Danio rerio: one gene and its partners. The protein of the gene in region 2 interacts with the protein of the main gene of each other region in a biochemical or structural test. Links are inferred from orthologs where the notes say so. Each region holds a gene or a part of one and is shown on either strand. Other genes may lie near its edges.

The links.
Region 1: the proteins of cdk9 (region 2) and gtf2f1 form a complex in vitro, tested with the Homo sapiens proteins (2 studies listed by BioGRID, with this or other methods). The link is inferred for Danio rerio from reciprocal best matches to the Homo sapiens genes CDK9 and GTF2F1.
Region 3: the proteins of cdk9 (region 2) and ccnt2b form a complex in vitro, tested with the Homo sapiens proteins (4 studies listed by BioGRID, with this or other methods). The link is inferred for Danio rerio from reciprocal best matches to the Homo sapiens genes CDK9 and CCNT2.
Region 4: of the proteins of cdk9 (region 2) and ctdp1, one has a biochemical effect on the other in vitro, tested with the Homo sapiens proteins (3 studies listed by BioGRID). The link is inferred for Danio rerio from reciprocal best matches to the Homo sapiens genes CDK9 and CTDP1.

What each region holds. Positions count from the first base shown.
Region 1 is NC_133178.1:32,752,136-32,760,095, forward strand, and holds part of gtf2f1 (general transcription factor IIF subunit 1), read right to left. Parts: intron 7,672-7,960; coding exon 7,501-7,671; intron 7,425-7,500; coding exon 7,210-7,424; intron 5,147-7,209; coding exon 4,993-5,146; intron 4,912-4,992; coding exon 4,853-4,911; intron 4,749-4,852; coding exon 4,617-4,748; intron 3,711-4,616; coding exon 3,637-3,710; intron 3,316-3,636; coding exon 3,174-3,315; intron 1,811-3,173; coding exon 1,678-1,810; intron 1-1,677. UniProt on the Homo sapiens protein: TFIIF is a general transcription initiation factor that binds to RNA polymerase II and helps to recruit it to the initiation complex in collaboration with TFIIB. It promotes transcription elongation.
Region 2 is NC_133196.1:7,395,831-7,404,579, forward strand, and holds the start of cdk9 (cyclin-dependent kinase 9), read left to right. Parts: upstream 1-1,908; 5' UTR 1,909-1,931; coding exon 1,932-1,972; intron 1,973-2,349; coding exon 2,350-2,463; exon of another isoform or gene 2,464-2,614; intron 2,615-4,438; exon of another isoform or gene 4,439-4,788; coding exon 4,789-4,870; exon of another isoform or gene 4,871-4,905; intron 4,906-5,196; exon of another isoform or gene 5,197-5,766; intron 5,767-5,973; exon of another isoform or gene 5,974-6,613; coding exon 6,614-6,704; coding exon of another isoform or gene 6,705-6,710; intron 6,711-8,749. UniProt on the Homo sapiens protein: Protein kinase involved in the regulation of transcription.
Region 3 is NC_133197.1:11,829,565-11,836,381, reverse strand, and holds part of ccnt2b (cyclin-T2b), read right to left. Parts: intron 5,314-6,817; coding exon 5,150-5,313; intron 4,961-5,149; coding exon 4,890-4,960; coding exon of another isoform or gene 4,848-4,889; intron 4,177-4,847; coding exon of another isoform or gene 4,171-4,176; exon of another isoform or gene 2,142-4,170; coding exon 1,209-2,141; 3' UTR 1-1,208. UniProt on the Homo sapiens protein: Regulatory subunit of the cyclin-dependent kinase pair (CDK9/cyclin T) complex, also called positive transcription elongation factor B (P-TEFB), which is proposed to facilitate the transition from abortive to production elongation by phosphorylating the CTD (carboxy-terminal domain) of the large subunit of RNA polymerase II (RNAP II).
Region 4 is NC_133194.1:12,889,734-12,897,693, reverse strand, and holds part of ctdp1 (RNA polymerase II subunit A C-terminal domain phosphatase), read left to right. Parts: intron 1-1,646; coding exon 1,647-1,788; intron 1,789-3,505; coding exon 3,506-3,733; intron 3,734-7,960. UniProt on the Homo sapiens protein: Processively dephosphorylates 'Ser-2' and 'Ser-5' of the heptad repeats YSPTSPS in the C-terminal domain of the largest RNA polymerase II subunit. This promotes the activity of RNA polymerase II.

The DNA.
Region 1 (7,960 bases), on a different chromosome or scaffold from region 2:
CAGAAGTATGCAAAAGGACTCTTATTTTTTTATGTATGCTGTTACAATTATTGCAGCATTTAAGGTCTGTTTTCTTTAAAAACCAACGATCTCCACTGCCTGAGTGATATACAATATATAAATAGGTCTCAGAATGTACAAGCACTGCATAAATGACATTTTTCCCCACCATGTCTTTAAAATATGAACGTTTATTTTGGAGCTTCTGCACTAGCCTGCTTATCCTTATGGGCGCGTATGTGTAAAAGGCTTTGCATATCAACGCTGAAGTCTATTTAACTGATTTTATTTTTATTACTTTACAACATCAATGCTGTAAAAGAAACCAAAACTGAAAAAAGTCAAATCAATTATTCACTATAAGTTTATCAGTATGGGGAGGAACACTAGCTGTGCATATATCGCTAGAAGGCAAGTTGAATGTGGAGCACGGCTGTGCAGTTAATCGAAAATCCGATTTCGATTTCAATTTTGGCTTCTAACAATTATGAAAAACCATTAATCGGGATAAGCAATTATTGCATCATATAGCGCCACCTTTTGTTGCTTGACCGCATGTTTCTGTGCGTGTGATTCTGTTCAGTCAGAAGCATGTGGTCAGCATTCGGTCTCATTCGCCCACTGAGACGTGCAGAGCGCACACACCTTAAGTCATCTTAATGTGAGCGTTTAATGGTCAAATAGGTGTCAAAACGTGGTGTTCAGTAATTATTCATATTAACCGTCATTTGTGTAATAAACAAACGAGTTGAAAATCAAAAGACACGTGAAAGAGAAACCATTAAAGTGACCGTGCGCAATATCCCTGATGCCACCTGTTTTTATGATTATTAATCAAACAAAAGGAGAAGCTTAAGTGTTTAGCTTAAAAGTGTTTTTCTTACGGTGAAGATGCTTAAATCACAGTTTATTTCATATTTTTATACTATTGTATTTATTTCGCTTTCCTTTGCAGGGTGGAAAAGAACTATATATATATATATATATATATAGTTGCAGATTCAAAAAAATATATAGCTTAAGGGGGCTAATATTATTGACCTTAAAATTGGTTTCAAAAAATTTAAACCTACTTTTATTCTAGCCAAAATAAAACAAATAAGCCTCTCCAGAAGAAAAAATATTAGAGGAAATACTGTTAAAATTCCTTGCTCTTTTAAACATCTTTTGGGAAATATAAAATAAAAAAAAATCTCAGGAGCGGTAATAATTTAGAATTCAACTAATAATCGTTTTGAATAATCGTAAATACAGTTTTCACCAAAATAATCATGATTATGATTTTTCCCAAAATCGAGCAGCCCTAATGTGGAGCTGTTTGTAGAGTACAAAAATGTTATCAAGAGGGAGTTGTTATGGAGAGGATTTGCAGATCAAATAGGATTTCATTCTTGAAACAACCTTGTTTTGTTTGCCAGTTAACAAATACTGTGTGATTGTTTTAACAGGTGCATAAATGCTCTTTTTCTATGTAACAAGCAAGTGTCAAACACACAAAGTTGCACTGCGCTTGTGTACTAGGGTATTTCTGTTTTTCATTAAGCTCTATCTAACGTCAAAGAGTGATTTTGCTCCCAAGTGAAAATGTTGACGATAAGCGCAAACAAAAAAGGTCCCAGTGTGCACAAGCCTTAAAGAGAACAAGATGATGATTGTATGGCTCTGGGGATGAAGTACCTGGCGCTGGGGGTGGATTTCCCTGACGCTGGCTGTGGTGTGCTTTTCCCTGAGGAGCTTTGAGGACTGGGCTCCATCTTTAATCTCTTGGCTGCTGGAGTTTCTGAGCTCGGCACAGTTGTCTGTCGCTTACCTGAGATAGAAGTGCAGAAACATGTTTATATCTAAGAGTTTATATCTAAGAGTTTTGCCACAACTTCTGAACTAAAAAGAAAGACAAAATTAAATAAGGAAATACTAGGCAAATAGTATAAGCTTTTGATTTAATAACGTGTTAAAGTGGCACTCAAACCAAAACTGAACACGGTCATCAATTAGTCATATACACAGCATCATAGTTAAACATTACTTTGTGAACACAAATTTACATTTTAGAAACAGAATGATGGAAGCACTTAATGGAAGCTCCTGAACCACACAAAGTGAGCACGACAGTAATCCTTATACCCCCAGCAGACGTAAGAAAATGCATTTTGTTAAAACTATAACCATTACTTTTAGTTGACATTACCATAAATATGATGTGAAGTTTCACAAATTGTCACATGATTGTTACAGAGCATCAAATCTCAAATGACAATCAATTGGAAGCAATAGTTAATAGAAAAAAAAAATAAAAAATTTATTTGATAAAAAAAAATATATATATAATATTTTTCCATAGTCATGTTAACTTTGTCTCTATTCTTTCTATTATTATTGCTTATATACACACACACACACACACACACACACACACACACACTGCTTACACACACACACACACACAATGCTGATGTAAGGGAGACTAAATAAGAAAACTAACATTGTTGGGGGATTGTTTTAACTGCAAGTTTGATTCAAAATTCTAATTTAAAAGTAAGTACTACTAATTTTTTTTATTCTTAAGCTGCCTTTCCACAGCACATGAGAAGCGACAGACTGGAAGTCATTCATTTTCAATGGAGAGTAGTCCAAGAGCTGCATGGAGTTCCGATATGCAGAAAATTTGGATCTGATCTGAACTCCTGCGACTACACCGTCTGTGACCAGCCGACCGGATGTGATGTATTCCAGTGTTGTCCAAGCAGGTCCATGCGCGCGAGATGACAAATAGGAGTTTATTTCGTTATTTCGTTTAGAATCTGAAAAAAAGTCTAATAAGTCTAATAAAATTCTATTCATAAAAGAGTAATAAAAAATATTGTAATTTTTAATCTTGTCTCCACATTCCCTGATGAGTAATTAATTAATATGATGAGTTTATAGTATTCATTCATTCATTCATTCAACTAAAGGCTCTTGCTTTTGCACTCCATTATTTTAGACACCACCGCTGGAATCCACTTACCATGGTAAATGACAAAACAAAATATTCAATGTGACTGACACAAGGGGGTGTATTTTGTGCAGTGGAAAGGTGGCTTTAGTATTTTTTATTATATCTACTACCACAACGTCATAAAAATTAATACATTTGAATATAATTTTTAATAACTGAGTTTTGTTGAGTGTACCTTGCTCCAGTTTGCTGGCAGCAGCACGGAGAGTGTTGGAAGTGGCAGCATTATCAATAGATGGTGTGCCTGGTCGACTACCTGTTCTTGAACTGCCTGCTGAGCCACGGCCACCTCCTCGCTTAGGAGGTGTGCGCTTCTTCTGTGACAGACAACAAGAAAAAAGCACTGTACCATATTCACATGAAATGTCATCAAAACACAACATCCATATTTCTTTTTCAGACACAGACAGACAGACAGACAGACAGACAGACAGACAGACAGACAGACACACAGACACACAGACACACAGACAGACACACACACACACAGACACACACACACACAGACACACACACACACACACACACACACACACACACACACACACACACACACACACACACACACACACACACACACACACACACACACACACACACACACACACACACACACACACACAAATATAGGCCATTACCACCATAAACAGTGCTGACGCTGCCTCTCCTTCAATATCACTGTCCTCAGAGCTGTCGGACTCGCCGCTGCTGTCTGAAATACATAAGGATTTTAATATCAAATAGTACCTTTTATCTTAAAAATAATAAATTGTATTGTAGAACATATATTTATTATCTGAAACAAGCTGCAACTTATATTATACAGTAACTTACATAATGCAAATAGCATTAAACAAGCTAAATTTGCTCAAAATATGCAGAGATTTGAATTTGTCTCAAATGATAAAGGCACATTAGCATTAATAAGCATTTCTTAAAATTAAATTTTTTTTGGCTTGAATAAAATCACAAACATACTTTATTGAATTCCCCAAAAAAACATTTTTATACTTATTTTTTTTACTTATATTTATTTTTCTCTTCTGAATACGGTTACATTAAAGGACCTTTATTTGAAGTTAAAGGAACTGAAATACATTTTGTAAACAATTTGTTATATTTAGGACTAGTAGTTGCCAATTTTTTGTGTTATTTCTGAATTAAATTGTAAAATATCACTTCAACACCAAAACAGCTAATCTGTGTGTTTTTTTCCTCCTAACAATACAATTCTGAGCTGGTGCAACTTATATTGTGAGGTTCTAATTTTCTAGGAATTGCTAAAATCCTAAAACAGACACAAACCATTCAGAAAAGCAACTCAGATATGCTTCCTAACCATATTTTAAGTATTTAAATTTAAATTTACATTTTAAAAAGTACTTCATCAGTCATATTTTTTTGCCTCTTTTATTTGCCTATTTAAGGGGTTTTCTTTTTTTTGTAATTTTACAGAAATATTCATCTATAAAACATAAATGAAAAGTTTTTTGTCATTTAAAAATTATACATTTTAAAAAAAGGCCTTTCTTTATTTAAGTAAGACTTTTAAGTTACACGCCTTGATTTGAACAGAAAAAAAACATCACATACAACTATAATATGAGGTTGCTCGTACCTTTCTTTTTCTTCTTTTCCACCTGCACTGGCGTCTTCTTCCCATCTTCCTCCTCTTCCTCTTCCTTATTCTCTTCTTCATTCTTGGTCTCTTCCTCACTCTCTTCCTCACTTTCAGACATTTCATCAATCCCTGAAAGAAAACCATCAGTGCTTCACAAAGCCATCTCAAATCATATATCAGGACTAGACAAAGCTCATTCCTGCAAAAAGAATAAAACCTTCTAAATCCCCAACCTTTAGGAACATCCTCTCCCTTATTTGGCTTGGTCTTCTCTGGTTCTTCTTCTTCAGAACTGGAGGAAAAAAGAATGGCGATGATGATGATTAAGACTGCAAAACAATGACCATATGAATATTTGTGTCACTAAAATCACCTGCTCTCATCAGACATGTAGTCCACCTCCAAACCCTCAAAGTCACCATCATCACTGTCCTCAAATCCTTCTAAGTCGCTGCCCTTTTTCTTCTTCTTCTTTCCCTTGCCTTTGGCACCTTTTTCCTTTTTAGCTTTTGCCTTGGCTTCATCATCTGCAATAAAAGAAGATATTTTTTTAAACTGCCCCTATTATGCCATGTAAAATGTTTTTCACATTAATTTAAAGATCTCCTACAATTAGTTTACAAGCAGCCACATTCAAAAACACTCACAAAAGGCCTCTATTTTCTCAAAATATGCTTAAATTTAAATTGATCTAATTTCTCACAGAGCTCAAATCATTCATTTGATTTATCGTTTCTAAACCCCTCTTTCCAAGAGCCTCTTCTGATTGGTCACATGGTCTAGTACCCTGTGACAGGCTACTGCTTGCACAGGTAACACATTTAACAGAACGTTGAAAATTGTATACAGTAGACTATGCTGATAGATTTTACTAATAGTATTGAGCCAGAAACACTCTTTATTATTTATAGAAAGTAGAGATGTGGGATTAATTGAAATCGTATCAAAATCCTGATTTGAACACACGTGATATCTAAATCGCTTTACAGATTTTCCCACATTATGCTGTTTGAACCAATCATAATGTAGCACGCCTAAACAGAGCGCGAGAACAGGTGATTGAGATTAATGACAAATAAACTGCATAACAGGGATTATGAGTTCAGCACAGGAGGGCTTGGTGCCCAAAAAAAGTCAACATCTGGGGTGTGGGATTACTTTGGATAGAGGAAGACTGATGTATCACAGAATCAGGTAATTCATAAGACCTCTCAGTCAAATATTGCATCTTATAGCATATGGAAAGGGGAAGGCATGTCACTTGTATGTCAGTTCTTGTTACGTGACTCGCAGTGCAGCATTCTCAAAAGTGGAGATGTTTTCAACTGCGTGTGCATGGAATACATGCTTCACTCCCAATATACGTGTAAGCTGGGCACCTCCATTGGAAATAACTAACTTATGCAAAAGATGCAATATGTGAATGGCCCATTTCACGGCAGCATCACAAAGAGATTTAAGAGCTATGCATGGCAAAAATAAATTTGTGGACACATACAAAAGTACACATAACTACTTCTGATATGTGGTCAAACAGAACATCGTTTGAAAGCGTGTGTGCGCACACGCACGTACGCACAAACACTAGTCTATTTATTTGTTTTATCTAGAGACAATTTATTAGACCTTCAGTAGGTGTTTTTTTTTTTTTTTTGCTTTATGTCTGTTTTGGAGACGTTACAGTCTTTATAAAGAAAGATTTAATAAATTTCCTTTGGAATTACATTTCACATTCACACTGTATAACGCCTGTGTGTGTCAAAAACGTGATTAAAATTGAAATCGCAATATTGTTCAAGAAAATCATGACAGGTTTCTTTCAGCCGTGATAAAAAGCTATAATAGAGTGAAATCCCCACAAAATTTGCTTGTGTAAGTGAAATACCCATGAGGGTTTACTTTATTGTGTCCTGCATATTTAGTTCAGGGTGAAAATTAGATAGAAAACTGAAACAATGTCTTCTTTATGAGGTTGGTTTGATTTCATTTTTAAGATGCAGATTTAAGACAATTTAAATACTAATTAAGGCCTTATCTTTGCACTATGGAATTTAAGACTTTAAAAATCTGTGGACACCTTGTGTATGCAGCTTCTTCACTTATGATTGTGTGAAACTTGATTTAGCCCTACATTGCACTTCATACTCATGATTTCTCTCAGAAAAAATAACAACAAAGCGCAGATATGAAGCAAACAGTAGATTTAGCTGTTTTGGTGACATTGACAAAAAACGCTTCTAGACATGATGTTGATATGAACAAGCCACTGTGTTGGAGGGTCAAAATGCTGTTGGCAGGCAGCCCATGAAAAAGATAGACTGGTAACACAAGCATGTTGCATATCAATATGTATTGATAAGAGAAATTAAATTGGAATGAGTGGTTTAGAACTCACTCTTTTGTTAAGAGACAACTAAAGTAGTCAACATCTGAAACAAATCAAAACCTTTCATCAAAGTTGTCCTAAAATTATTCAACAACAACCATTCAAAATCAAATGTTGATTACTGAATATTCATTATGTACTTTGATCTTTAAATAAAAAGCATGATAAGGCACACTCATGTTCCTCTCTGACCCTTTTGCTCACCCTCACCATCTCCATTGCTGCCATCACTTTCATCGCTGCTCATTTCCAAATCTTCCTCGAGGTCATGAATTCGCAGGTCACCTCCTCTGCCTCCCTTCTTCTTTTTCTTTGCGCCTTTTTCTCCTTCCTCCTCATCCTCATCTCCTCCTCCTCGCTCCTGTTCTCTTAAACGCCGCTGGAGCATGATACTGAAGTGGTTCACCACTTTGTTTCTCCTAAATGAAAAATAATGAGCTGCAATCATCAAACTGCAAGCTTGTAATGCAGAAGAGAAATCAGGTTTGCCCTCACCTGCCCCACTCTTCCTCTGCTTCCTCAGCTGTGAGCGTGCGGTGTTTGGCCTGTGGTGTGAAGTTATACCAGGCGTGCACGGGAAATGCCTCAAAAGCACCATCGGCACTCTGTGTGAAGATGTAGTAGGACGCATTCTCTGTAACGCCCCCTTTTTTTATACCCTTAAATCTGAGTGGCAAAGAGAAAGAAAACAGCAGTAAAACAAGATCTAAACAAATAATAACACACTTTAAATGCAATTAAACACCAACAACAAATCCGAAATCAGCTCATTGTGTCAGCACGACTGGTTGCGATGGTTTTAATTAGTCACGAGCACATTTTATTCAGATTTAGTTTTTTATTGCCACCTTAAAAGTGGATGGCTTTTTAATGGCAAGACTAATATTTATAAGAATTACAATTTTCAATAAGAGAAAATTTTGAAAATAATGAATAGATTTTTAAATTAATTTTT
Region 2 (8,749 bases):
GCCGTAGTGTATGTGTGTGAATGAGTGTGTATGGATGTTTCCCAGTGATTGGTTTTAGCTGGAATGGCATCCATTGTGTAGAACATATGCTGGATAAGTTGGTGGTTCATTCCGCTGTGAAGACCCTGGATAAATAAAGAGATGAATGAAGCCCCTGTAGTGTAATTTTGTTTATTCTATGTTTTGTAATTTATTTATTTTTATTACTATTTTATTTGTTGATTGTCTTTATTATTTGCGCTCAGTTCTGTATATTTAGATGAAAATATTCATTTGAATTTCGCTGCATTGTCTTTGTGTTTTACGTCAATAAAAAAAAGTAATATGTCATTGTGAAATTAGTTTCATGTAAATTGACTCTCCTGCATGTATTTTATTTGTATTAGTATCTTTTAATGCTTTATTTATGTTATTATTATTATCACTTAGCGGTATGATACATGAATGTGCTCCAAGCAGGTTTTGCATCTCGTTTATATACACTATAAGGAGCAGCTACGCTAATTATTATCTTTATTCTCTATTTTCACCTGGGGATACTCATCCCAAGGCCCTCAGACTATGCAGTCACTGATTCGATCCAAGACCAGCGATGACATGATCACAAGTTTTCCATAATCCTGGACCAGGCTGTATCCTGGCTGCTGTGGTGGTCATTGACGAGTGGAGAGCATGGGACTGATTCCTGTGACTCTTCAGGGACTGACGAGTGTTCGCCGAGGTCCAGCCTCCGGCGCCTTGACTGCAGTTTGTCGTGCCCAACTGAGTCTGGTTTCTCTCAAGTTTTTTTAATTCTTCACTTTTCGCCAATTGGTGAAGTTATTTCCTCGCTGCTGTGGCCACTGGCTTACATGTTTTAGAATTTGTAGAGCTGCGCATTGATGGATTTGCTCTTCAGTGTTTAGACCAGGGGTCACCAAACTTGTTCCTGGAGGGCCGGTGTCCTGCAGATTTTATCTCCAACCCTAATCAAACACACCTGAACAAGCTAATCAAGGTCTTACAAGGTATACTTGAAACATCCAGGCAGGTGTGTTGAGGCAAGATGGAGCTAAATCCTGCAGGGACACCGGCCCTCCAGGACCAGGATTGATGACCCCTGGTTTAGACTCTTAGTAGTGTTTATTAAACCACACTAAACTGAGCTAAACTGAACTGAACTTAAACACTGAAAACTGAACTGATACTATTTCAATTTACTATGATCTTCTATGTGAAGCTGCTTTGACACAATCTACATTGTAAAAGCACTATACAAATAAAGGTGAATTGAATTATTATTTAGTTTTTGTTAATATTATTATTACGAACTATGTTGTTAATTATATGGGTAACACTTTACAATAAGGTTGCATAAGTTAATGTTAGTAAATGTATTTACTAACATAAACAATCAGTGAACAATACATTTATTACAGTGTTTATCAATGTTAGTCAACATAAGTTAATGAAAATACACTTGTTCATTGTTAGTTTAACCTACAGTGCAATAACTAATGATCTATAAATGCAGTACAAGTAGTGTTCAGAATTAGCTCACGCCAGTAAATACATTAACTAATGAAACCTTATTGTAAAGTGTTACCTATATAATTAACAATATAGCACATAATAATACTAACAAACATAAATAATAAAAACAAAGCATTACATGATACTAATACAATTTAAAACACATGCAGGGGAGTCAATTTACGTAAAGCTAATTTCACAACGACATAATATTAAACCTTTTTTACTGCTGTATAATATATGTTTAACAAAGGAAGTTGAAATGACTGTTTATCATTTGAAGGTTTGAAAAAAGTGGAAATAATAATAAACAAATAAATAGCTTTACGTAATCATTGTTTGTCTTCCGGTCGGCAGGTGGTGGTAACGTGTTTTTGCGCCGCTGAATCCGTCCTGGGAACCGCAGAGGAACAGCAAGGATGCAGCGCGACAAAACCGGAAGCTCTGGCGGCGGTGAAAAGTACGAATATTTTACTAATTTTATACACTTAACGTTCATTTACACTGTTAAATCTCGCATTTTATTACATTTTAATATACAAAGCACACATTTGTACTGCTATAACATAGCTAGTCTCCAAAGCGACGCTGTAAATGTGATGTTTGTGTGGGGGTCTGGATTTGTGTCTTTGTCGGGCCGAAAGAAAACGCGAAGTGATCCACACACTCAAAACAGCGTCATAAAAGACCAAATAGTTCTTTAAAACAAGCTTAATTATAACATAAATCAGTAAATAGCGGATTTGTAGTTGTACTTAGCGTGATATGTGTAGGCGGAATGAAGTAATATCGCCTTGTTGTAAAACATGAGTGTGTATTTGTGTTGTTTGTGTTCAGGCCGGACAGAGAGACCGCCATCATGTCCAAATACTACGATGGCGTCGAGTTTCCCTTCTGTGATGAATTCTCCAAATATGAGAAGCTGGCGAAGATCGGACAGGGCACCTTTGGGTGAGTATTTGATGTTTGTGTGTGTAAATATACCATAATGTTTATCATCCAGTAACAGACCATTTTCACATGGCGTCCGGTTTCACTCCATGCAGTGTGTCGTTACTTCCGCCTACATAGAAATCCCCATATGGCCCGTTTCCACTGAGTGGTACGGTTCGGTTCGGTTTGGTACGCTTTTATTACAAAAGGTGGCGGTAGGACATAATTCATTCAAATGAAGAAACTGAACAAAACATTAATATTTCAGTAAATAATAAATGATGAAACTGGTTGCATTTGTAGACATAATGGAAATGTTGCAAACACATGCTTTCCCTGATAAACCATAGCTTATTCATGTTCTTAACAACTTAATCATTTTCAAACTCAGAAAACAATTCAGTATTGAAAGAGACACATTTGGACACATGGCCAATACCAATAATAGTGTTAAATCAGATCGTGCAATCTTAAAGGGCCATGAAACCCCCTCGTTTCAGCAGGGTGTTTTCACACCTCTACTTTGGAAAAAGTCAGAAAAGTGGGCGTGTCCAGCTCTGTTTAGGGGGGAGTGTCGGAGGAACTAAAGTGGGATGGTGTGGGAGTGTCTATTTGGACACGCGCGAGTTTCAGTCAAAATACACACAGACAAAGTGATGGTGTTTAACCTACATGGACATCTGTAGTCAAATTATTTGCCAAGTTATTAAATGTTGGACTTTAACTGCAGTTTGGCTCTTTCATTCAGGGAATTCATTCATGCCCCTCGCGACAAACGAGATATTTGATTCGAGGATCTGCTCTAAGCGTGTATTTTTCCTGCAATGTTTGATACCGCACGGCGAATGAGAGAAAAAAACCCTCCGCATTTCCCGGAAACTTAGATGCACACAGCAGGTAGCGTCAGAAAGCCGCGTGTGTTATTCCGGCCACAAAATGCGGTGCTAACATGTTTGCACTCAGTGCAATAGTTAACTTAATTCAATAAGAACAAACTGAATAAACAAAGAGCACTGGTCGCTCACTTACCAAATCTGTAGAGACAGGACAATCACCAGCAACTAGAGCCGCGTCTTTATGGAGAGAATACTACAAGCGAATCCGGATCTCAGCGTTTGCAGATGAGAACAGCTCTCAGGTAAACAATAATCCTCCTTAAACACGCAAGTTATTGTTGTCGAGCGTCTCGTACACTAATCCACGCGTGACTCCAGCTGAGCTCTCACAGAGAGAAAATGAAAACAAAACTTAACTGCAGCAAACTATAAAAGCAACACTTCACGCTTGTTTTGCCAACGCAACTTGGCGTCTCTGTGGTGTAAACACGGTGACACTAATGGATATTAATGAAGTTGCACAATAGAGCGCGCTGATTGGTTTGACCCAAGCCTTACTCATGCATTAATGCATCACACTGTAAGACGTAATAAGACTCACTCTAGCACAGACGCCCAGTCTGCACGCTGAAATACACGCTATTATGTCATGACCGTGACGCAGCTTCAAAAATTAGTTTCAAACAGGAAGTACGAATTTGCTTGAAATAACGCAAAAACAACCAATTTACACTTTTTAGTGAAATATAGGTGTCCTGATAGTATTTTTAGCAGTGTGGGACACATATACGACTGTCAACACCTCAAAAAATGTGTTTCGTGACCCTTTAATATTTTTATTTTTAAATTTCCTAGAGAAGTGTCCCATTCATTTAAAGGTGAACCGGAACTAAAAATACACTGCGTTGCAGAAAGGAGGAAGTGAACTGACATAATTGGGATAAGGGTCTGTTCACTGTCTGAAATGATGAGTGTATTGTCTGACTTTCTTATTTTGTAATGTGAGAGCATCCATTTGTAACACTTGAAGGGATACAGCTGCTTCTGGGCATGCACACAATAATATTGTGGCTTTTTTTGTAGGGGTAGGTCATTCTTTTCCTTTTGTTTTCAGCTGTACAAAACTCTCCATTATGTTGGTTAAAGTTACAAACTAGTATTTCCTATGTTCTTTTGATAAATTTATCATGAATAAAATGTTCCCAGATGAAAGTGAAACCACCAAACTGCAGTTAAAAGTCGATAATTTATAAATGAAATGCTTGAAATGACATGAAACTCCGAAGGAAATGTATATAGCGTGGTGACACAATGATGTTACTTAATCTATGTACTATAACATGTAAAACGGGATCACGAAAAGAACATTCAAAAAGCAGCTCAATGTAAACACCTCAATCGTATTATTGTCTTACTCAGATTAAGGCAAATACTTCAACTAATCATGTCCATATAGACATGGTCAGTGAGGGGTTTAATGATTTGATTTGTTTTTTTCTCTTTATAGAGAGGTCTTCAAGGCTAAACACCGACAGACGGGGAAGAAAGTGGCCTTGAAGAAAGTTCTGATGGAGAATGAGAAAGAAGGGGTAAGAAAATGCACCTCTATAATCTATTAAGTAAGGCAAGGCAAGTTTGTTTATATAGCACATTTCATACACAGTGGCAATTCAAAGTGCTTTACATAAACAAGAATAAAAGAAAAAAGTCAAATAAAAACAAATAATAAAAATGCGTCAAAACATAAAAACAGGTAAAATATGACATAAAAGAATGAAGAAGAAGAGAAAAACATGATAGTGCAATCTGTCGGACGCAGCACAGTGCTCATTCAGTAAAGGCACAGCTAAACAGATGTGTTTTCAGTCTTGATTTGAATGTGCCTAATGTTGGAGCACATCTGATCATTTCTTAGTTATATTGTTGTATAAGGCACTGTTTGCATCTAGTAATAATATATATTAGTAAGTCATTGTAATCACATATTAATGACATTTAATACGGGAAATAAAAATAATCTAAATAATTTTGAGCTTTTTTCACTTGCATCCACTTCCAGAGGCTGTTAAAAATGCAATAACATTAATAGTGTACACACTTATGTGGTCAAATGTCTTTAACTAGCCTAAAAAACCTCCATATACAGACCTCATTTATAAAAAAAAATACATGACATAGTGTTCATGCACACAAATCAGATGGGATTTAACCTCTGCCATCTGTAATTGTAGCTTTGGTTTGAATATGGAGAGATGTAAAAAATCACAAAGTTGTCTTAACAATACTGACCTCACTCCTATTTTAATAAATAAAATTGTTTTGTTTAAATGCACCAAAATACAGGCCTCCCACATTTCTTGAAAATACATGAACAATTTTAGACATTTGGATTCAAGGCCTGGAATGTACTTAAAAACAAAACCAGGTCCTTGAAAGTGCTTGAGATAAAATATAGTGGTTAACAATTGTATAGTGGTTAAAAATTGTACTGTGCTGTCGACGCCAGTGGTGTAGTGGTTAATGCGCTGACACATGCACACATGACTCACGGCAACCCAAGTTCGATTTCGCCTCGCGGTCCTTTGCTGATCCTTCCCCTCTCTCTGCTCGCAATGCTTTCCTGTCAATTCTCTCTACTTTCCTATTCAAATAAACGTGAAAACCCTGAAAAAAAAATATTTAATAAAAACAGTTGTATGGTGCTGATGTCAAAAACTGGAAAAAGAGAGAAATCCTTCATTTAAAAGTTGCATTTTAATCTTGTAGAAGAATCATTTTTATCAGTGTTTCAGAAATTATATTTGGATATTAACAGTATTGAATTCAACTCATTTTAACTCATTTCAAGTGTTTTAAACATGACTGTTTTAATGACACCTCAGTAACATCATCATTACTATGATATTTGAATGTAAAGTATAAGTTAAATGTTATGTACAGTAGGGGCTTTCATGGTACTACATATGTTGGTGGTGTGAATTACAACAGTGCTTGATCTGAAATCAATAGTGCTTTAAAAAGTCATTGAAAGTCCTTGAGAGTGCTGTTTATGAAACAGTGGAAGCCCTGAAAATATATTGCCTTGCCTTTTCACTGAGAAACAGATACAAATATTTATTTTCAAGGGCATGTACACATTTATGCTGAGCACACTGCATTATTGTAAAAAGTCTGTATTATTAAATGTTTATAAATGTGTTTACTTTTATTGTATGTTCTAAAGTTGTATTATTCTGAATAGTTTTTACCATGAGACTACCCAATGCATGTGAGATGGCAATAAATAAATATACAATATTAACCTGTAAGTGTATCTGTGCTCTTCTCTTCAGTTTCCCATCACGGCTCTGAGGGAGATCAAGATCTTGCAGCTTCTCAAACACGAGAATGTGGTCAACCTCATCGAGATCTGCAGAACAAAGGGTGAGGGTGAGGATAAAGTCCTGTTTAATACACTTTCCATTCTGTCGCTGCTCTCATTACTGCTGTGTTTTACAGAAAACAGGTTGAACGTGATAGTAAGTGAAAACTGGGTTAGTCAGAGAGAGCAAAACACTATCAGGCTGCATTTACACTGAATAGTTCAAGTGACTCAATTCTATTTTTTTTTCCTCCCATGTGGCACAGATCGGATATGGCTCATGTACATGCTAGCAGTAATAAAATCACATATATTCCGATTTGCTCAAATCAGATTCAGGCCTTGTACATATTTGTAAATTTATCTGTTATGAATCGGATCCATGCCCTCTGCAGTGTAAGCAGGTAGATCAGATTTTCACCTCTCAATGCAAGTCGCGCATCATTAAAAACCATAGTGAATGATGTCAACTCTGACGCTGTCATTTCAGAACAGACTTCAGCAGAGTTGCAAACCTTCAATCTCATTCACGAGCACTAACCAAGCTTTTATATTGTCATGTAGCACTGGTATTTACGCATGTTAACGAGAGAGAGATATTAAACTGTTGGATAAATCACGCGTGGACATTACATTAAAATGCCTACTGGTTTAAAAAGGCCTATGTAGCATCCTTTGCAAAAGGAATGGGATGCATTAGAAAATAATAAATTACATGAAATCCAACCTGAAATCTCACACAGAATTTGAAGACATTTTAAGAATAGATTTGATCAAGTAGTTTTTAGCAGATGTCGTATTGGGCATACAAGAATAACACATGTTTTTTTGCCCCAAAGTGAGAACTCTACTCAGTGTTTGTGCTGCAAAACTCCCCTTACTATAAAACACAGTTTACTAGACTGTCCTGCTTTGAATGATTCCAGAAAACTTTATGAAATGAACTTTTATAAGGACATTTTTAACAAAGTGAAACCAGAAAAGATTTTGCAATTTTTATCATGCAACACTAAAAATCTTTTTTAATTTATGTATTCTTTTGTTTGTTGATTTTAAATTGTATATTTATTGTTGAAAGGTTCCTGCCATGAAAATAGCCTTGGTTGCTGACATGGCATTAAATAAAAATACATTACATGTAGCGTCCTTTCCCTATGGTCTAATCACCAATAATGCATGTTCTTCACTTAATATTTCTCCTTTGCACTAAACTCCTCTTTGAACTGCTGCATTTTCTCTTATGCATTATATTATTATTTTAGGGGTTATTTCTCAATAAAAAAGTAAAAATGAGGAAAATTTATCCCAAAAAGTAACTTATAACTAGGCCCACACAAAATCTGCGCGTGCAGAACTCCGCAGATTTCTTTTTTAGCCCATCATTAATTCTGTTTATTTACTTGAGTAAATGTGTAAATCTGAATTTATTCAGTGTTTATTCAGTAATTTATTACTTTTTATTTCATTTATTACTGTTTTAGTTATGATACTCCACTGGATACTCCCAAAATAATTCTGCAGAAATCCGCAGATTTTTACCACAATTCTCCGCAGAAATAGCAAAAAGCGTCCGCAGATTCCGTCTGGCCCTGCTTACAACCCCATACCAATTTATATAAATAATAAACACAACCAATCTGGTACAAAATACTTTTCTGAATTTACTTAAATACAAATAATCAAACAAAGATATGCTAACAAAAGAAATAAAGGTTTGTTTTAAAATAAAGCTTTTCGTTCTCCTCCTTTCAAACTTAAATAAACAGCAAAATCAACAGTTCATTTAGAAAAGCCCAAAAATAGTCCATATAAAATTAATAAAAAATTAACCAAACTCCGTTGCAGGCCTATTTTGGTGCTGGTGTTCGTAGTAGCATTAAAACACAGTTGCTCTTTCGCCCGAAGGGCAAATAAATAACAGTTTACTCCTACCAGAGCCCAGGGAACACGTCAGAACCGGAACTACAGTTCAGGAGGGAATAGAGGGGAGTCCGCAGTGTGACGTTGCGTCCAACACTGCCAGAAGAGCCACTGAAGTATCCATGTTTCTCAAGGCACTATCTGAAACGTCCAGGTTTTTTGATGTATAGGACGATAGTTATCCGCG
Region 3 (6,817 bases), on a different chromosome or scaffold from region 2:
AAAGTTTCATACAGTTCCAACGGTGGGCAAACACTGAGGCACAAACCTTTGGTATCTGGTGAGAGGAGGTTTTTTGACAGCACAACAGGAGTCTAGGCCACATCTAGAGTGAATTTCTCCTCTTTACCCTCCATCCAAAACCTTCAAAATGGTCCCAATGCCGTTTTAAGAGCACCGGACAGAAAAACAAAGTTAACTGCTGCTTGATCTGAATGGGAGCCCACTTATTAACCAATCAGAATCAATGAGGAGAGAAGATGGAAACGTAAATCTTAAATACTGAGATCATAGGAAATGGGACATTTACACACACACACACAGGCTGCTAAAATCTCTATCATACAGTTTTAAGGCTCGACGCACACCACGATGAACAGAAATAGATCAGCTGATAAGTCTGGGGCGCGATCTTGACCGTTCAAACCTGGCACACGAAACAAAACTCAAAGAATTTCTCAGTGAAAAATGACATTTTGCTTTCCACTACTGTAAAGGGTCAAAAAAAAGAAACGAATTACAAGCATAAATGTCTTTAAAGTCGTAAGACATAATTACTACGCAAAAAGACCCTTGATGTCATCGGTGCGGCTTTCTAACAAAGGATAATGTAAAACGGATACTTTACAGTACAATAAAATTTACAATATATGGAAAGCTATATAATGGAATTGTGTACAGGCATTTTTGCGAAATTCCAGCTAAAATTTGTGAAGTTTCGTGAAGTTTTTACCTTTAAGAACCTCCAAACCTGAGCAATCGTGAAATAGAATTAAACATAGATATATATTGATACAAATAACAGTGAACAGATATCTGCACCTTCCTTTTGTAAACAGTCACACGTTTCTATTTTCATCCCTTTGATAAACGAAAAAATTGTGAATCAAGCATGAAGAACATACATACTCACTTTATCACATTGCGCTTTTCCAACTAGAACACTTTAAGATCGCCGAAGGCTTTTCGCAATCTCTTTTTAGCAAGCTCTACGAAAGTCTTAAAATTGTAAATTCACAATTGTTGCTCAAACTAAAACGTCGACACAACCTTCACACCTTGTAGTTTTTTTTTCTTTAACTTCAGTGATAAAACCAATCAAAGAGACTATGACATTTAACGGACGAGTGATCCTTGCATAAAATTAGCACGAGAACGACAATCGTACGTTTTTTTGAGGGTTTATGTAAAAACGTCAGATTTTTTTTCCTTTAAATTTGGAAGTTTTGTGCATTTAATAGGGAATCAAGCATATTAAAAGTGTCTTCATAATCCATATGTGGACCATTATTTATTAAAGCAGCATTGGGCTCAGAACCGTGCCCCTCCCCCATCCTCCTGTCAATCTTCGCCAACTGCGGTTGGCCTATCGCTTGATTGACAGATATGGAGGCGGAGGAGGAGTGGCTCTTGGAAGATCTGTGAGATTTGGATGAATGATGGTGGTGATGGTGGTGGTGGTGATGACTACCATGCGAGTGAGACGAATCGTGTCTCGCTGTTTTGTGGGATGAATGTTCACGATGCTTCTCTCGGCTGGAGAGTGGACTGTGACGGCTCTTACTACTGCCGCTACTGTCAGACGATACCTTGATCTTCATTTTCAGCTCTTCTTGACTAGCGGAACCATTCTCTGATGAGGAAGGGTGGCGTCGTTTGAGTGACCCGCTCTTCGACGGTCGCTCCAGTACCTGCTGTTGATTATACTTCAGCCTGATAGATGTAGACGGCTCGGATGTCAAATGGCCGTGCTTTCGATGTTGATCACCGTCCTCTTCTTCATGTCTGCGTCTCTGTTCTAATTCGGTTTGTTTTTCACGGTATTTCTCTAGAGTGAGTTTCTGAGGAGCCAGAGTGGCAGAGCTATGTCCATGTTTGCTTGTCGGAGCCGCCTGGAGTGCAAGAAAAGCATCGGCAGTTTGAGAGATTGGTGCAGGAAAGCCGAAAGCAGAACTCTGCAAGTTCGACAGGCCATTAAGAGACAGTGAAGACCCGTCCAACGGGAAAGAGGTGGACGGGTCAGAATACATGCCCGCTCCCAGGTCACACATGCTACTCATCAACGAGGTGTCCTGGTTGAGAGATTGGAAAGATCCGTCTAGTGATTGGTTGTCAAGTTTTGGTTTCTTGGCAGCTTGTGTGGCCTAAAACGAGAACGAAAATAATTGGACCATTACTTGAGTTTGCAATCAAATGTGTCACAAAAATGTCCAAAGATACACTCGTCGGCCACTTTTGTTAGGTACTCATTAACACAAATATCAGCCTATACATGGCACCAACTACATGCATTTAGGCATGTTGACATGAAGATGATCTGCTGAAGGTCAAACTGAAAATTAGGATGAGAAAGAAATGTGATTTAAGTGGCTGAAAGTGAAATGACTGTTGGTGCCTACTGGTATTTTCACATATCGCTGTCTTTGGTGCTTACAGAGAATGGGTCCAAAAAAAAAAAAAAAAAGGACTATTACAGGGTTTCTGCAGGTTTCTTCAAGTCAAACTGTCATAACTGACTTCTTAAGACCCTGCTACAACCATTATGAATGAAATTGTAGAATTACACAGGGCTAAAACACTTCCTTTTATTAGGATTATTCCTATTATCCTTATTGGGTCAATTTAATTTTTTGCTAGCCACAAAAAAAAAAAGAAAAAAGGATTTAATTTCTTTTTAGCGATGTACTTTAAATGTGCTAAAACAAGAAAACTCTAGTTGACACACTACTTTTAATATTATATCTCTTTCTTTTATGACATGTTTAACATTACTAAAAGCACATTTATTGTGGAGGCAATTACATAAATTATCAGAAATATATATATTTGTTGGCTTTTGGTACTAACTGATCAAGTATAACTTCTATTCAACCTAATGTATTTCTAATATTATCACGAGGAACTGTGTAATTGTTTTTAGTTGTCTTTCCCTGATTTTATTAGGATGGATTTCTGGTGATTGGATGGATGTCGGCCCAATTGGGTAGCTTAATTTGGAAAGAAAAAAACTGACCTGTTTAAAATTATTTAAAACATACAACACAATATTTCAGTGAATTTAAGACTTTTTAGAGCCTTAAATTTAGTTTTTGAAATTTAAGACATTGCGACTTAAGAACCTACAGATAACCTGTATTAAGTGGACCAAAATAACTTGCTGATGGCAGAGGAAAATTCAGACTGGTTAGAGTTGATAAAAAGACAACAGTAAAGGTTATTGCACACCGAATCCAAAATTTATCCGTAATTTTTGCACATTAAAAAATAAATTTGACCTCACGTTGTGTGAATTGTATTGACACACTGCCTCCAAAACTTTTGTCTATCATAAAAAAAAAATTTCGAACTAGGTTCGATATTTCCATTTTGTGCATTTGAAAAGCGATTTGAGGTGTTTCGACAGTTCAGAGCCACCGTAGAAGTGAAAAGCTCAATACAAAATGATACAAATACCTTGTGCTAGCTAACATCTGCTGCTATGTGTATTCATACATTTGACGTACTGCCCACAGACCTTATAATAGAAAGCATAGTCCGCTTTCGTTCCATTGCTTCGAAACATCAACGGTGGTCGTCATCTATTATAATGTCTCAAGGTACTGCGAGTCTCTGTTCAGGATTTGTTTACATGCGCGAATGTGTGAAGTATCACAAGCAATGTACCAAAATTCCAGCGATGTCTTGAAATATGCTTTGCATTTGGGGATACTCCGGCACAGCTCTTTGATAATGAGCTGAACTCTCTTCCTCTATGCAGAATTAGATAATCTGTAGCCTATTTCTCTTATTTTCTACTAAGGAGAAGAACAAAGTATCACTACTTGAACTGACTCTGAAATGTTTTATGTTGTTTTGTAATGAATTGATTTATTAATACGCATCAGACTCGGTGAGCAAAGTTTGTTTACGTGATGATTTTTTCAGATATTAATACGAAAAAAACACATCTCAAAATTTCGAACTTCAGTGTGCAAAGACTTTACTCAAATAACTGCTCTAAACAACCGAGGTTTGTAGAAGGCTGATATAGTGAACAGAAAATTCACATAAATTCTTCACTTTTTGTGAACCTACACAATGAAGAATTAATGCCGTTCTAGCAACAAAAGAGGATCACAATCTAGTACTAGCAATGTCTACCTATTAAAGTGCCTCACGAGAGTAAGGGTGCTTTCACACCTGTGAATCGATTCAGTTGTTCCGAAACAGAGATTACAAATGTTACATTGTTGCTCTTTGCTCTTGGAGCGGTTCGCTTTCACACTGCAAAGTTTCTAATTGGACCAAAAGAGCTAAAACAAGTCACGTGCGAGTAAACTCTCCTTACATTGGTCAGAGTGTCAGGGTTTATTTTGCAGCGTCCCGCTCAGCTGTCAGGAGAGGTGGTGGTTTGGTGGTGATTGACAGGGTGCGCGTGCGTGACGTGTCTGAGGAGAGATGGGGTGGGGAGGGGTGAGAAGGGTGCGCGACGATGCCTATTTGAGGACCGGGAGGGAGACGCAAGATTACCGGGAGATCATCACTCATTTGCGGGCATCCGGAGACTCGCGAAACTTCCCGCCCTACTCATAATTCTCTCTTTATAGAGCTGTAAGTCTATTACATATCCATAAAACACTGTAATATAACCGCGCTCGGATCGGATCGCTTTCTCACTGCAATCGAACCACTCCAGGGTTCGTTTTAATCGAGCCGAGACCACCTCATTCAAGCGCTCTCGGAGCGATTACTTGGAACAGAGAGCGATTGCCCTGTTCACATATGCCAAACGAACCGCGCTAACTGGGCAAATGAGACCGGTTCCGAATCAAAAGTGTAGGTGTGAAAGCACCCAAAGTGATGTTTCTGACTTTGCATATTTCTTTCATATAAACAAAAATATTAATACAAACCCGCCAGTTTCGGATTCTTTTCAATCTGCTTGGTGTTTTTTCCAGTATCTGGAGAAACTCATGAGTCAGGTCTACAAAGACAAGCACAACGTTTAGTACTTAGCAAAATAGATAATATGATAAATGCCAATTAAAATGAACTGAGAAATTGGTTAAAAAAATTAAAGTGGCCTGAGAAATTAAATACCTCAAACAAGAGATCGATCAACATGGATTTAACCAAAGAAATAATCACCCCCCTCCCCTCTTTTATGACTGACCATCAAGCAGCTGTAGAGTCACAGCCCGGTCCACATATTCCCACCAATGTTTCCCATCTGAAGAGACTGGAATCTCCCAATTGGACCACTTGCAGGCCAGGTGAATACAAACACACGCCACCACTGTGGGTTTGTGCTGCAGGCAAAAGGTGGTCAAATGCAGACTGCAAGAAAGACAAGAATACAGAAAACACAGAAAACACTTGATTACAAACTGAGGACACAAGACACGCTTTCCTAAAAACCTAAGGTCAGTTTATTTCTATTCTTAAACTTTTTTTGTGAATGTCAAAGCTGATCATAGTCCATCAGGTGTGTTTGCTAGAATGTTCTTTGTCTGGGCCGGCTGGAAAACAAAATGGCATGAAATGGATTCAGTCAACAGCACACAACAGATCTCATTTACTTCAAATGCCATGTTTTTGCAATCAACAGCTTCATTCATTTACAGTCTCTCAGCGAGTGGGTATTAAAAAGAGACTCAACTTCCTGCTGAGTTAATGACCAATCCAGCTCAAAGTCTGGCTTCAAACTATCTTTTGATCGCTAAATCGGTAACAATAGAGGCTGAGATTTCAGCACAATCAATCAGAATTGAGCTGCTTCAGGTCAGCTAATGAGACGCCGCCTGATTGGTTAAAGACTCAGGCTGCTGACAGAAAGATCCAAGGCTGGATCAAAGAGAGCTGGAATTACAATAATAGTGCAATGAAGGTTTGACTGCTGCTAAGAATAAACAGGTAATTACAATTAAAAAGAAGTTGCAAAGTCAATATTAGCATCGCTTAAAACCAACAAAAAATATTTGTTAAATCATAAGTGAAAGTATTACAATTAATTCAAAGTAACGCTTCACAATATGGTCAATTGGTTAACATTAATGCGCTAAGATTACCAAAGGGCTAAATTTATTACTAAGCTAAACGTATTATGTTAGATCACGTTAAATAAAAATCTTTACTTATTCACATACTAACACATTGAAATGAACCGTACTTATGTTGAAATTTATGAGCATTAAAATGTTCCATTTTTACTAAAGCAGTTGACTAATGTTAACAAACGGAACCTTATTGTAGCGTTACCAAAGAAGTTAATGTAAAATATGTATTTTAAAACCATTAAAAAATGATTAGTTATAGAAATTGGTTATATAAAATAAGATTAGTTATATAAATTCATTGATGTGAAGAATTAAATAAAAAAATATTCATGATTTTTTAAAGTCAATACTGAGAACTATTGCCCCACACATATATATACACACACACATTGTTCTTTAAATATATAAAGACACACACACACAGTGGTCACTAGTCAGTCACGGGAGTTGGGTTCTGAAAATATCTCGCATTAGGTAAAATTCTCAAAGTAGTAGCTTGATTTTTTCAATGATTAGATGTTTTAAGGGTGTAAAATCAAATGTGATTAACCAAATATTCATTTCATAATAACGCCCTACAACCGCGCAACTTCTACCTTCCTTTATCATGTCTAGAAGTTCAACTTTTTTTTGCGATGGTAAGCATCTTCCTCTGTCTTTTGGCTGCTACTGCAGGTGCCTTTGAAGGTGCAGTTTCGTCGATGCGTCGACATAATGGGGTTTGTTGAAAACTTGCAAACATACAGTACAGCACTTCAAAAGTCACACTGCTAGCATTCAAAGAT
Region 4 (7,960 bases), on a different chromosome or scaffold from region 2:
AACGAAACGATCCTGGATCGTGTCAGATCGTCAATATCCAAATCCAGCTAACTGAGTAATCCACGTACGAAGAACGGACCCCTGATGGAGCGAGTTTACAAGTGTTGAGTCCTGTGAAGGAGCTCCAGATGGAAACTTTTGTTTTGTGTTTACCTTTTAATTAAAGTTGTTGCATGTCCGCCAATTCCCACCTCTGAATGAGCGAGTTTGAGCTACTTATACATTAAGATAGCGTTCAGAAAAAAACAAAACACCTACGAAGAAACTCAACACAGAGGAACAATAAAACCTACTGCTAGCTAGCGTTTTGGAAGTGTTATTGCAGAGCAACACAAACAGCAGCTGAAGTATAAATGTACGGCAATGCGCAAGGCATGCGCCGTGGGTCACTCTGATCACTTGATCACACAGTGATTGTGATTACACACAATTGTACCCTTTTGGTGGGTGCAAAAAAAAACAACAACAACAATGACTAAAAGAGATTTCAGCTAAGTCAAATGAAGCAGGATTAAGCACAAAATTATTAGTTTTGCCACGCTTGTTTTCACAAACTTCCATTATCACTTCAAATCATTTCACCTTCAATCCTTACATATTATTTATACACCATTTGTACACTTCTTTTAATGGTTTGATGCATTCAGTTGCATCTTCGTGTAGGGGAATTGCAAAGACTAAAACCAATGCAAATCTTCCATAATTTGATAATACTTTATGAACCTAATCACTTTGTCAAGATGTATTTGCCAGTGGATTCCAGTATTTAAATTTCATCATAAAAGATACTATGAAAGGTTTTAATGATGTGCAAGAGATTTCAGATATTAAAGATTTCGGATATTAAAATTATGTGACAAGGATAATTGCATATACTGTAGCATTTAGCTGTTGCTCACTGTCTGTTGTGTATGTAAAGATCATAATGAGATCTCTATTACTGACTGTGGTTATTTGGACATCAGTAGTTTAATGATTTGCCTTAATCTGAATAAGACGAGAATATGGTTAAGGTGTTTCCATGAGTTGTTTTTTTTAATGTTCTTTTTATGTTCCCATTTTACATGTTATAGTATAGTCATAGTCGATTAACGTCAGTACGTCTCCATTCGCTGTTAGTTTACTGTGGTGTTTTACTCAACAACTGTTCATGTTCGCCATGACACCATATGTTTTGGTCGTTTCGCTTTTACTTTTGCAACAAGTTCAACTGCAGGCAATTTTCCTCACTATGCATGCTAACCGACGACGGTGGATACAAATTCTCATGCAATAGGCCACCTCTGCCATTTCATTGACTTACTTTTATTCATGCCTCTGAGACAAAGACGCACTATTTTTTTTATGCGCATATTCAAAATGCACATAAAAATAGGTGGATGAAAACATAGCTACTGTAGCCTGTGCAATTTAGCATTAAAACTTTATTTATATGATAAACTTTGATTGAAAAAAGAAATAGAAAAATGTTTTTTGACTTTTTTAGTAGGTTTTTTTATTGCAACACATTCAATTCAGATTGCAATTTTCTTTTGCTGTGCTGCTGCCTTCTGCTCTGCTGATAGTGGAGAGAAAAACACCGACCGATCATATTTCACATTGCAGTGTGGTTTATCTAAATAGTGTTTTGTTTGTGTCTCTGTCAGGTACAGAGAAAGTTCGTCAAGCTCTGGGTTGTAAACATCTCCATGTGGTAAATCCTGATTGGTTGTGGGCTTGTTTGGAGCGCTGGGAGCGAGTAGAGGAGCAACTCTTTCCTCTCAAAGAGGACTATAACAAATCACACAGGTATTTATCTTTTACAGCCTTCTACTTCTTTTTCCATCCTTTATGTTCACTTGTGGCTTTCAGTATGAAGTAGGTATTGTCAGTATTTTCTGTTGTGACTGCTGAAATTTTCATTGTGTTGTTCACTCATCACTACAACGCTCATGAATAGAACATGAAGCATTCAACAACTTATTATTTTTCAGCTTGCACTGACACTTGCAATATTAAAGTAATATTAAATAAATCAGTTTCCCTAAAACTTCCTCATGGCACAGTAAGGGAGATGCTTAGCAGAACGTTGATGTAAAGTGAGCGCTGGCCATGAGTCAAGCAAGATTTTTTCCATCTGCTTGTTTACACATAGATTTCATATTTCTTCAATCGGAACTGAACTATGTGTGTGCAATATGACGATTTTTGATGGAGGATGATTAAAATGTCTCCATGATCTGCTTTGCGAGGTATATCATAATATCGTGCTTCTCATTATACACTATAAAAAAGTTGACTCAACTTAAAGTTGTAAGGCAACTTGCTGAAGAGCTTTTTTGAGGGCCCTTTTACTCCAATACGTTTTTGTTTTAAGATGGCGTATTAGAATGAAAACGATCTACGTTCGCACTGGCATTTCATCTAGCCTTTCTGAACAGAAAACGCACATTATGTGACCATACATGCACTGAATGCTGCTTCTGCATATTCTCGTGTCTGAGCTCCAAGCAGTCAGCAGGAGCTCTGAGCACACTTGTCCGGCTGAGAGCAGCTGAACGTCGGCCAGTTTGTCCCGAATTTGCTGCTGGATCTCATCTCTCTGTAGTTGTTAAACACGATTTATAACTCATCTTGTGTAGACTTTTATTTAATGAGTCGGTCTTTTGAATCTATTAGCCCACTTGTGCTCAGGTAACGTGTTTTGGCCGAGCGTAAAAACAAGTTAACATATTAATTTATGTATGCTGAGTCTGCATGTTTGTTTAGAAAGTTTTGAGGTCTGTGTTTAGGCAGCTTATACAAATAAAATGAAAGACTACAGCCTTGGCTGTATAGTAAAACAAGAGAGCAAGATCTCATGTAATATCGGAGATCATGTTAGTAGCAGATGTTAATGCTGACCAGTAAAGTCAAATAAACCTTACCATTATGTCACTAATTTACATCTTGCAAGATGTTTCCTTCCACCCAAGTTAGATCAGGGTGAAGGCTAGGTCATGTCAACGTGACCCATGAGACACATCAGGTGGCATCAGTTCAATTTAGAGAAGATGGGAGGTTTGCTTTTCACACCTTTTGAGGAAAAACACAGAGATCGCACTTTGCAGATACAAACACTTGGAAAGAACATCTAGTACAAATCATAAAGATTTGTGTACAACATTTTTCAAATGTCAAGCTACAGAAAATACCCAATTAAACAAAAAATAAAATGTAGATACAAAACTTTATATAAAACTATTACTACATAAAGAAGTAGCTTAACTTATAAGTAGCATATGTCAGCATTATAAATATAATTAAAAGCACATTTGTAATTATAAATAATAATAATGATGATGAAAAATAATCAATATAGAAAATATAACAACATTAGAAATGTTTATGTACTACATTCTGTCATTTATTAATCACCACAACATATGCATCATGTTAAAATAAAGTAGTCTGTACCCCACATAACTGGTTGTCATAGCAGTTGATCTTTATGTTCATGTTTATTATTATTATTTGTTTCATTCAGGAGCAACAGTCCCGGTGCATTTCTAGACATCCATGGGTCTGCCCCGAGGCCTCCCTTCCAGGCCCCTCAGGTTCAGCCTAAGCCGCTGCCAGCACCCGAAATGCGGACCTATGATCCTGTCACTGGCAAACTGATCCGCCGCGGCCCCCAGGCCTCCCGCCCACCTTCATACCTTCACTCACATCCTTCATCATCCATGTCGGCCAAGGGTGATCTCTCAAACCTCAGGTACTTGCTATATATATAATTTTTATGCGAAGTCTGCTCATCATAATGTCAGTTTTATACTAATGTTTTGTTTTTCATTCAAAAATTACAATTCTGTTATTAATTATTCACGTAATTATTCCTCGTGTCTTTCCAATCCCTCGAGACCTTTGTTCATCTTCAGAACACAAATTAAGATATTTTAGATTAAATCTGAGAGCTCCCTTATCCTCCATAGGCAGAAACAGTCATGAGACATTCATGGCGTACTCACACTATGCTATCCGAACCGTGCCCAAGCCCATTTCCTGGATCGTTTGAGAAGTGTGAGTGCTCTGAATCAGGCTCAGGTACTGTTCACTTGGCTGGCCCTGTCCTGGCTGTGCCAGAGCGGGGTTCACTTGGACCCCAAAACTGAAGACGAGGCGTGACTTTTACATGATTATTTCATATGGATTTTATAATCATTCTTACTGTTCAATGAACGCAGAGTCATATATAATTAACGACGCAAACCCCTCACTACACGACAGCTGCACCTTTAGCAAACCTCCTAATTCCTGCAGCATTAGGACTTTATGATCGTTTACGAGTGTCAAAAGTGGCTGACCTGTTCTGCGAAATATTTGACAGCATGTCACTGCATCCCAAACGACTAAAACAATATACCTAAAGAAATCTCCACTGTGCTGAGAAAATGGAGTTCTCTACGGAACAGCGCATGATCGATCACTCAAGCGTGCCCAGGCCCGAATATAATGTGAGTGTGGGCCGTCGGGGACACAGTAGGGGGGAGACAGGAGGCGTGCTTTGGCCCGTTTTAAGGCAACTGTACATAGTGTGAGTACGCCTTCAAAGTCCAGTAAAGGACCCAAAAACATTGTAAAATTCAATGTGTAATCATAAGAAGCTCAACTATAGACGACGAGTCTTCGCTGAGGCCAGCCTCCAGCCTCCACCGCTGAGACTGCAGCTCTGCACAAGACTTTTGGCCAGCGGAGAAATTAAAATGGTCTTGCCGAACTGAGTCTGGTTTCTCTCAAGGTTTTTTTTTTCTTCACTCTCCTATCAGCGAAGTTTTTTTTCCCTCTCCGCTGTCGCCACTGGCTTGCATGGTTCAGGATCGGTAGAGCTACGCATCGATGAATTTGCTCTTCAATGTTTGGACTGTCAGTAATGATTTTAAACCACACTGAACTGAGCTAAACTGAACTGAACTTAAACACTAAAAACTGAACTACCCTGATCCAGTTATTATGACCATTCATGTGAAGCTGCTTTGACACAATCTACATTGTAAAAGGGCTATACAAATAAAGCTGAATTGAAGTGAATTGAACTATAGCATGGTGCCACATCTACTACAGACAATATAATGCTTACATATTGGGACTCTAATGGCAATTGGACATATTGTCTATAGCACCCTGATCTGATGGGGAAAAGAAGACATTGATGTTTTGTTTTTTTGGTGCATAAATGTGTTCTTTAAGCTTCATTGTTTTTGGTTCCTTTTCTGGACTTCAAACGTCACAGGACTGTTTCGGTCTATGGTGGATGAGGAAGACGCTTTTCCTCACGACACTCATGCAGAAACAATCTCACACAGGCTAAATATGCCAAAATAACATCTAAATACTCATCTTTGAAACACAATGGGAAATGTCTTAAGTAAAAGTAGACAAGTTGAGGAAAAAAATTCTTAGCTTATTAATTTTTTTTAATTTTAATCAGCAATAAATAACAGTATTACTGTTGCACTTGCCTAAAAAATCTTTCTTTGTTCTTGAAGCTGTTTTGATCCCATATAATAGTCTTGTATAATTATATATTTTTATTTTAATTATTGACTTCACTCTAATGTTTTAACTATGCAAGTTAGGTTATTTATTTTCTTCTCTAATGCTAAAAACTGTCATTATTATTGGTTCAATTTATTAGAACGTTACGTGGATAAAAACGTGGATGAAAATAACAAATATGCGTGTTTTATTTGTTTACTATTTTTTTCACTGGGTACATTGGCCTGATCAAACCAGCAGTAAAAATTCTTAACCCCAAAATAAGTATGATCCCAAATTTTATACTTGAATTAGGTTTTATACGTCACAAATTATGACAAAGTATAAGATCATAGTCAGAATTGCATTGCAGTTCAGTTGTTTCCAACTGAAAAATTGCTAACAATAAAACAACATATTATACTACTGGGCAAATATATGACCGTTTAAGAATTTGCAACTCACAGGAGCTATTGTAACTCACCTGATCATGTGACATTCAAACAATTTAATTAAAACAATCTATTTTTTTATTTTAAAATTTATTTTTATTTCTCTTTAAAAGCCAACAACAAGACTTAAAGAGCTTTTAGAACAAAAAAACAAAAAACAAAAAAAAAAACACACACAAACACACACTCACATTTGTAACCAGTGGGTTAATGCTTGAGGTTTTAGTTCTGGCAAATTAAGAAATGAAGACATGCATACAATTGTATTATTTAATATAGCATTATTTTAGTATCACGATTTTTTTTAATACAATTTTTTAAGGTATCGTATTAAAGTTTTATCATGACAATACTTCACAGTACATTAAGTTATTTAAAAAGAGCAAGGGAAATAAAGTTAGGTCTAACTTTATTTTAAGTGTTGCTTATTCCTGTAAATTTACAATTAACTAGATGTGTAAGTAGTATGTAGTTACATTGTATGTACACACTGGTACATAGTATTGACTTGTGTAATATTGGTGTAATTACACACATGTAACAACCTAGTGAATAGTTTAAGTTCAAATGTGTAACAGGACATTACTAACACAATCTTTGGCAAACTAGCCCTTAAATGTGAATTACGGATGTGATTCTACAATTTACCTTAAAACAACATATAAACATGAGGTATTTGTATATTTATATTTACACATACATTTTTTGGCAGAAGTGTGCTGTTGGTAAACAGTTGCACAAACGTTTAGGTTTTATATATTACACAGTAATTTGTGACCATTTTATACTTTATATTCAGTGGACAGTTCCTGAGGATTTACCCTGTAATTACCCTGATATTAATAAGTGAAACCTTCTGATGCAACGTTAGTTCTGCCATTCTTATTTTAATACAGTGTTGAAATACATGTCATGCAAACAGGTGTTGAAGTGGGAAAACCCCTGCAAGAATATTGTTGTTACACAATGCACTTATGTAATTCTTGGTACAGATGTGTACTTTCTTATTGTTGTTACCAATGTCCAGTTACACGTTTGAACTTACACATACTATTAACTAGGTTGTTACATGTGTGTAGTTACACCAGTAATACACAAGTAAATACTGTGTACCAGTGTGCACATACACTGTAGTTACATACTACTTTTACATCTAGTTACCATGTAAGTTCACAGGTATAAGCGACACTTAATATAAAGTGTGAACAGCCCCTTTAAGCTATATATTTTTTTGCCAAATTATGTTAACCTGCCTTGTTAACATAATTAATCTAGTTATTTCTTTAAATGTCACTTTAAGCTGTATAAAAGTGTTTTGAAAAATATCTAGTCAAATATAATTTACTGTCATCATGGCAAAGATAAAACGAATCAGTTATTATTATAAATGAGTTATTAAAACTACAATGTCTAAAAATGTGTTGAAAAAATATTCTCCCCGTTAAACAGAAATTAGGTAAAAAATAAACAGCATGGCTAATAATTCTGACTTTAACTGTATTTATATTTCTTAGGCATGTGTATGAAATGTATGTCTTTAAAGCCGTGTGTAGGCCATGTGCTGTGCTTGCCGTTTCTTTCGTATTGGATTTCTCATGCTGTCTATTTCGCATTAATCTCTGAGCTCTAAATAAAATCTGTGAGAAATAAAGCATTGCGCCTTGGCAGCTCTGAGATTGTGAAACAGAAATTATTAGCAAATTTCATCAGCACCTTTGGCCATTGCTGTGACAAGGGAATAATAAAAACAAGCCTGTAAACGCTGATCGAATGAGAGGAGGAGAATTCTGCAGCTTCTGCGTCAGCATCTGATGAGGGGAGAGAGAGAGAGATGAATTAGCAATGAGTCCAGCTTAGGAACAATCATTATTTGCTCATTATTATTATACTGACTTTCTGCAGTGATCTTCAATGAGATCAATGACTACAGCTATCAACATGAAGACAAAAAAGATCATAAAAATGGGTCTGTATAACTATTAGGATCAAAAGTTGTATAGTTTGATCTGTTATCT